Linked DNA regions of Ovis aries. The protein of the gene in region 2 interacts with the protein of the main gene of each other region in a pairwise test. Links are inferred from orthologs where the notes say so. Each region holds a gene or a part of one and is shown on either strand. Other genes may lie near its edges.

What was found. The genes of interacting proteins can lie anywhere in the genome.
Region 1: the proteins of RAB29 (region 2) and CSTPP1 interact in a two-hybrid assay, tested with the Homo sapiens proteins (2 studies listed by BioGRID and IntAct). The two-hybrid records come from large-scale screens. The link is inferred for Ovis aries from reciprocal best matches to the Homo sapiens genes RAB29 and CSTPP1.

What each region holds. Positions count from the first base shown.
Region 1 is NC_056068.1:75,987,247-75,990,530, reverse strand, and holds the end of CSTPP1 (centriolar satellite-associated tubulin polyglutamylase complex regulator 1), read right to left. Parts: intron 1,700-3,284; coding exon 1,636-1,699; intron 1,386-1,635; coding exon 1,211-1,385; 3' UTR 618-1,210; downstream 1-617. UniProt on the Homo sapiens protein: Regulator of the tubulin polyglutamylase complex (TPGC) that controls cytoskeletal organization, nuclear shape, and cilium disassembly by balancing microtubule and actin assembly.
Region 2 is NC_056065.1:3,369,288-3,373,594, forward strand, and holds the start of RAB29 (ras-related protein Rab-7L1), read right to left. Parts: upstream 2,811-4,307; 5' UTR 2,627-2,810; exon of another isoform or gene 2,569-2,626; intron 2,450-2,568; 5' UTR 2,348-2,449; coding exon 2,224-2,347; intron 374-2,223; coding exon 302-373; intron 1-301. UniProt on the Homo sapiens protein: The small GTPases Rab are key regulators in vesicle trafficking. Essential for maintaining the integrity of the endosome-trans-Golgi network structure.

The DNA of each region.
Region 1 (3,284 bases), on a different chromosome or scaffold from region 2:
CCAGTCGGCTGGCGAGCTGGAGGCTGCAGATGCCTCAGTGGTCACCAGCCTGGCCCGGCAGAGCTGTGGGAGCGGCTGGTCCTGTAACTCTCCAGGGGGTGCTGGTCTGGGCAGGGATGAGCCAAGGAAAATGTGGGTGTCTGGCAGTTGCAGAGGAGGAAGCCTGCTCTGCTTGGGTCCTGGGGTGGTTTTACTTTCTGGAAGTTGCAGACCACGCGCCTTACTGTCCAGCTCTGGCTGGAAGCTGGTACTCCGCCTGTCTTGTTCTCAGCTGCACCCCTACTGGCCTAACCCTGAGCAGGTGCTTAGAAAATGTTTAATGAACCTGTGATGGCAGCCCCTGGTGGCCCGTCTCTCAAGTTGTGGGCACCTGGCCTTGAGCCATCTGAGCTTGTTCCTGAAAGCTCTGTCCAGCTGTGGCCACCTTTCCCATGAAAGGCAGAGCTCATGTGCAGCTGGTGAGTCCCTCTTTGCTCATGATCTGAGACAGGTCTCCAGGTCGAGTAGTCCTTTGTCCCCCAACTTCCCAGTCCTGCCAGAAGAAACTGGAACTTGGCATCAAAATCTCAAACTCGCCCCTTCCCTTCACCCCTGTCTCATGGCTTTAGACTCACCACTTACCAGACACAAGGGACTTTATTCATTTCACATGTTTAACTATTAGACACAGAGGAGATTTGACGCGGTTTCTGAAAGTGAAATTTCTTTTTGCCCACCCTTCATCTCACGGCTAGTGGCTAGTCCTCCCGCAGAAAGCTACCATGGCTGTATCCTAATACCTGCATCACTGGCTGGGTGTCACCCTTGACCATGCAAGGCTCTGCATGGTTCCTGGAATTGCTGTGAGGAGATGGGGATGGTCAGCAAAAAGGTAAAACCAAGTCACCCTTCCCGTGGCCTCAGCTCAGTCCGCTGTCAGCTTGGGGCCTGGTGAAAGGCAGGCTGATGGGAGAAAGTCGGCTGTTAACTTTCTAGGGTCACTGCGTAGCTTGGCTTATCAGCACCTCTCTGGCGGGTCTCTGGGCTGGGGCTGTCACTTGGCCTCGCCAGTGGAGGGCAGTGCCAGTGGAGGGCAGCTCGGCACAGGGAGTGGGAGGAGAGAGGCCTGGGGTCCTAGGGTTTGGAGGCGGGTGGGGAGTTGAGCAGGTGGGGTGCTGGGAACTGGACCCAGGGCTGGGTTCTGTGCTGTAGACAGGACCCTTCAGGCTCCTCAAGTCTCGGACTCATCTGTCTCTTCAGTGGAGCCATCGCTTTCTGCATCCACTTTGCGGGCATGATGGAGGGGTCTCCAAGGGGAGCCAACCCGGGGAGGGGTCCGGGGAGGCAGGCAGCTGGCCTCTGGACCGGCAGTGACTGAGGTGACCAGGCCTGGTATCTGCGCCAGCCTGAAGAAGGAGATGCCCAAAGGGAGCGAGGTGCCTCTTGTCCAGAGACCAGGACCCCTTCACCCACTCTCGCGTGTGTGAGACCACAGGCTGCCTCCCCAAAGGGTTCAAAGAGAGGCTGTCTCAGGCCTCCATCGGCCCCCCAAGCCTTCCCTGACCGATGGACAAGTGCTCAGTGGCCCTTGTCGGGCTCTGATCGACTGGGGTCTGGTGCCCACAAGGGGGCAGCATCTTCCCATGTAACACTTACAGCCGCTCCAGTTCCTCATCCATGGCTGGGTCGTGCATCAGGTCCCCTCTGTCGGGCAAGGCTCCTAGGGAATAATTGGGGGCACAGAACTTAACCCGAGGGTCCTCCACCCGGGCTTCAGCCAGTAGCTGCCTCTGTGCCCCTCATCGTCACATCTGCCTACAATGTCGACCCTGGGAGAGCTGATCTAGAAGATTCAGGGAACAGAGGTTTAAGAGATCTGCTCTGGGGGCAGTAAGCCCTAGGTGCTGCTGGAGAAATCTAGTGAACCCCCCTGCCTCCCCTCCCTGATCATAACTACGAGACAGCCCCGAAACTCAAGGTCACTGCACAAACAGAATGGTCTTCCAAGACTAGATGGTGTGTTGTGAGGTGGTGCTAGTGGTAAAGAGCCCGCCTGCCAGTGCAGGAGACGAGACAGGCAAGGGTTCGATCTCGGTCAGCAAGATCCCCTGGAGAAGGAAATGGTAACCCACGCCAGTGTTCTTGCCTGGGGAATCCCTTGAACTGAGGAGCCTGGCGAGCTACAGTCCATGGGGCCACAAAGAGTCAGACATGGCTGAAGGGACTTAGCACTCATGCACGAGCTGGTGCTGAGGGTTTAGTCCTTTCCTGAGGCTCCAGGTCCTAAGCTGAAAAGAAAGAAGCCAGAGACACAGGACACGGCCAAGGCCCCAAAGGCCAGAAATTACCTAGTTTTGCGCCACCAGATCAGGGGGATCCCACTTTGGGGACAGAATGGTCAAAAATGCTGTCTCAGCTCCTCCCGGGTCCCAGGGTGAGAAGGGAAGGCGGGGTCAGGATGAGACCCAGCTCTCCTCGCTTGGCCGCGAGCCGCCAGGAGGGGCGCTGTCCCTTCCCTGACAGATCACTCAGCAGGTTTCCTCGACTACAAACCAAGGGCAGTCATTCTCAGATGTTGGGAACGGTGAGAGGAGGGGTCCAGGCTGCCCCCTGGGGCTGTTAACAGTGGGAGGGAAGGTAGAGCTGGAGTCTGCAGATAGAAAGATTCTTTATCAGCAAACTTAAAAGAGCCGCAATCCTGGTCAGAAGCTAGTGAACAGTGGTGGTCCCCGGGAAGCCTCAATCTTAAAATTGTCCATCTGGCTCTGCAGTTCTGACCTTTTCAGATGATGCTTCTTGGCCCCTTTGGTGTTAGTGGTGATCACACTGTGTGATGGAGCCCTCGTGTGCCTGTATGCGTGTATCCCGCTTTGAGGACTAAGGGAACAGCACAGCCCCCCTCCACAGCTGGCTGCACCTGGGGTAGCTCAGGTCGCTTTTCCATACACGGGAGACGCAAGTGAGGACGGACCCTATGCTGCTTTCCGTCTCCCACTGGCCCAGCGCTGCAGGGGACGTGAGCTCCATCGCTGGCCGGGTAACTAAGGTCCACGCTCCACAACTACTGAAGGCCACTTCCCCTAGAGCTGGCATGCCGCAACGAGAAGCCACCGCAAAGAGAAGCCCGTGCACCGAAACTAGAGAGGAGCCCCGGCTTCCACAACTAGAGAAAGGTTGCACGCAGCGACGAAGACCCAGTACAGCCAAAACCACGAACAGTTTAAGAAAGGAGCAGGCGGATGCGCTCTTTCTTGTTTGAAAAATAGGAAGAAGAACCCTCTCAAGCTCTGGGGGTGGTGATGTCA
Region 2 (4,307 bases):
GGTTAGCTGGAAACCTTAGAAAGAGCACCCTCTGCCTGCTGTGGGAGCATCTGCCTATGGTCTTCACAGTTCACTACCTCACCACCCCTCCACCCGCACAGAGACTGCTCTATATTTATTCAGGGTAAAACATTTACAGAACACATCTACAAAAGCTCTACATCTATTCAGCTTACATATCCTCAGAGCAGTCTGATCATTCCAGCTTCAGAAAAAAAAGTTTGGTTCTACTTTTTCTCTGAAAGCTTGTTGGTTAAACCAAAATGTCTCCCCTTATTCTTGTCCCGTTTTCCCATCCTACCTGCAATATCCCACAGCTGGAGGCGCACCATCTCTGAGTCAGACCACTGGAGAACCTTCAGAGCAAAATCCACTGAAAATATATGTATAATATACTTGAATAAAGTTTACCTTTAAAAAGTCCACAAAGTCATATCAAACATGCAGATACAACCCTAGGGACACACAACTCCAATCAAATTCATTCATTCATTGTTGGTTTATTTGGTTATTTTAAGCCCTCAATGGACCACACCCATGTACTAAATATGGGACATATAATTCACATGCATCTTCTGAAGGCATCTCTGGCTTTTACTCTCTTGTCAAACCAATTATTTGATCCTACTAATACTGCCTTATCTCTTTTCAGACAGTTGGCTCAGGCTGAGAAAACTCAATTGGAGAATATTAGGTGAGAGTAATTACAAAAACAACTTATCTTAGGTTAAACAGTTTTTGGAAGATTTAGGGGGCTTTCTCAGGGAAGGGATGATGAGGTAGAAGACGGAAATGAGGTAAGTGTGTTGGCCTTTGCATTTTCCACGTTCAATTTCTCTGTTGGTTTCTAACCCAATTGTATTATGAGAAAATCACAACCTTGGGGGAATTCTACATCCTTCATAAGGCTGTAGGAATTATCCTGGGCAGGAATGAGATAAAGTGAAAAGGTCCCAGAGGATTCACCCCATGGGTGATGCTTAAGAGCTGTGCTGGAAGCTCCTGCCACATCTGTAGATGCTGAGACTCCATGAGTTAAGGCCAAGGGGGAAGAGCGTTTGACAAAGACAGAAACAGGATAATTTCTGATGTTTGGAAATATATTTCTTCACATCTATGACAGAAATGAAAGCTAGGGGAAATTTAGAATAAACACTGAAAAAAATAGCCAGTCAATTATATTCTTTACTATAGGAAAACTAGAGCAATTGTTAAAAATTAGGAGGATACTTTTAAACCAAATCCGTGAATCAGAGGCCCTCATGTTACTTATTTGTTTGTTTGTTTGAAACTTAAAACCCTTCATTTTGATGGATGCTCTTAAGGAAGATGTCTTAATTGGATGTTAATTTTTAAAAATTCCATAATGAACACTAGTGTACATTTTCAAAATTTGTATTACAAAAGTTCTTTTAATGGAGATAAATAAATGTTTGTTATTTTTCCTCTTCACCAGCTCTCCCCAGCTAAACTTTTAATTAAAAAGCATTCTCCTACTTCTGGAAAGATAGTTGAGTCCAAAGGCCACACCTGGAAAGAAGTGAATTAACTCCTGGTGTCCCCCTTGTCCTTTGCCTCCCTAGTTTGAGAGAAAAAGGGGTGGGAAAATAAAAAAGTGGTATATTTTACACTAGGAATAGGTTGTCTTTAAACAATCAATGGACAAAAACCACACAGCTCATCAGCCTCTGACAGTGTCCAAGTGCTCTCCTGGGCAAGCATCTCCATAACGAAGCCAGGCTCCTTGAGGCCAGGTTAAACACCCTTCTGTTCCTTCAACAGCTGTCTGTAACTCTCGTGAAAGGTAGAACAGCAGCCCCAGATGGTACCTAACCAGGTTCTTCAGAAGGTCTCAGTGGAGTCCGCTTGTCGCAGAGATTTGCAGGTGACTGCTAGGAAGGCTGGAGGCTTGAGTTCACAGTTCCCCAGCGAAACGCAGCAACTGCTCATTTTCTCACCCACCCTTCCCCATTTCCTACCGTCACACTTTGCCTTTCTCTCTCGAGACAGCTCTGACTGGGAAAATTTAACTGGAAACCACCTCCCCCCACCCGCCCCACGCCCCGAGAGACATGCACATCAAACACCAGGGTCTCAGACAGCTCCTTCCTGGCCCGGGGAAGGACCCAAAGCCGGCAAAACCCCCGGCCCCCAGCCCACTCCAGTCTGCGGCTAGTCGCAGGACCCCGGCCGCTCCCCCGACCGCCCCTCGCAGCGTCTCACCTCCCACCGTGGACTTGTAGTGTTTGCTGAAGCTGTCCTGGGAATATCGCTGCACCAGGGACGTCTTGCCCACCGCGGCGTCCCCCACCACCAGCACTTTGAACAGGTGGTCGCGGCTGCTCATGGCTAGCGGGATGGGGGGCTCGCTTATCTTCACCCCTTGGTCTAGGGACCCCCGCTCAAACTGAAGTGTGGCATACCCGCCCCATGGCCCGTGAGGGCGACTCTGAAGAGAAAGCAAAAAATATAAAAGGAAACTTTGCGCTCAACTAGACGCGCTTCCTCCCCGCGCTGCCGCAGCCTGGGCGGGGCGCAGGGCGCAGGCCCTGAGCCCCGGGCTGTTACCTTCTTCCCCGGCCCGCCCGGCCGCCGAGAAAAGGGGCGAGGCACCACGATGCCTTACTCTCCGGACTTCCCCGGAGCTGCTCCGGCGGGCGACGGAACACGGCCAGCTTATTTCACCTCACGGTGGGGAGGAGATGGGGGCCATCCCCTAACTGCACAGACCAAATTCGGGGGGAAAGAGAGCCGTATGCCTAGCCTCCCCCGGACCCCCGACCGCCTCAGGTGGCGCGGTCCCCTCGCCTGCCTCCGCGTGTCACGTGCAGCGTCGCTTGGCGCACTACACTTCCCAGCGTACCTTGCGGCGAAGGCCGCTTGCCGAGCGCAGCGACTCGCCCGCATGGATTCCTGGGAGTGTAGTTTATACGCTATTTTTTTTTTTAAATACACTTAGTTTCAAACTCCTTCAATGGTTTGGAATTTTATTTTTAAATAATTCTGCGATAGAAAACATCCTTCAGAAAGCGGTTTGTTCGGCATGATCTAACCTTCCTAAATCTGTCTCCACATACATGTCTCATCTTTAATAAAAGTTTCATGGAGCTAAGATTTAAAAAATTATTCCATAGATTCCATATATTATTTCCACTAATAAAAGCTCAAGCCTCATCCCTCATGCTTCAAGTCCATTTCCTATTCTTCCAAATGGATAGATAGACATACCCACCCCAAAAGACCTCAAACCAGTCAAATTTAAGGACATTAAAAGACCGACTCAGGAAATCCCATGTCGTTAAATGTTAGTTATTAATATTTAATAACTTGTTACTGCAGTAAAGACAGAAAACAACAGACGGTTCCTCATTCTCACTTGCACAATCTTCGGTCACACTACACCGCTCACATCATTTGAGCTGGAAGTTGACTGAAGTACACTGCCAGTCCTCCTCCATTTGTTTCTGCTGTTGCTCATGAATAATGATTAAACTACAGTTTTGTGAATATTTTTAATTTTTTAGTCTGTAACTTCTGACCTGCCTGCCCTTTAGGTAGGAGTTAAGTGGACATGAGCTTCATGGCAAACAAAATAATCTCCATTTTCTATGCTTTTCCCAAGAATAGAAGAGAAAGCAACAGGAAGAAGAAAAAAATCAACCCTGCTCGGGTCTCTTGACCTTAACCTCGAGGAGAGACCATCAGCATGATTCACAATGTTTGTTAACCAGGTAGGGAAGGTCAGGCTAGGCTTCTCATCTTTTTGGAATGTCCCAGTTTCCTTCCCAATGGTCTTTTCTCAGTTTCCGTTGGCTTTGACATAGTGAACAATTTCTCGAAATTTGCTTCTCATGTGACTTAGTGACGCCGTTCTTTCTTGTTCAGCCTCCTTCTTCTCTGATGATCACCTTATTTCACCATTTCCTTTCATCCTATCACTCTTTAAGTATTTCTAAAGGCTTGATTCTCGGTCCCTCTGAGCTGATCATTCTTTAACCTTTTTACTTTGGTGAATTGCCCTTGGCATCACATTTCTCTTTGTCTAAGTTTTATTTATATCTTCATCTCCAATCAGTTTTGCTCAACTGATATAAAGGTACTTTTAGTTGGCTGTCCTGCCAGAGCCTCCCTTTCACAGCTTCACCTCAAAAACAACTATTTCTGTCACTGGCCTCATCATTTCTTCCTTCCACTCAGACCTGAAATTTTTTATTTTACTGTGGTAGGAACACTTAACATGAGACCTACCTTGTAAGTTTTTTTTTTTAAGTTTTAAATTATGCAGTCACAGCAATGTAAAAATACAA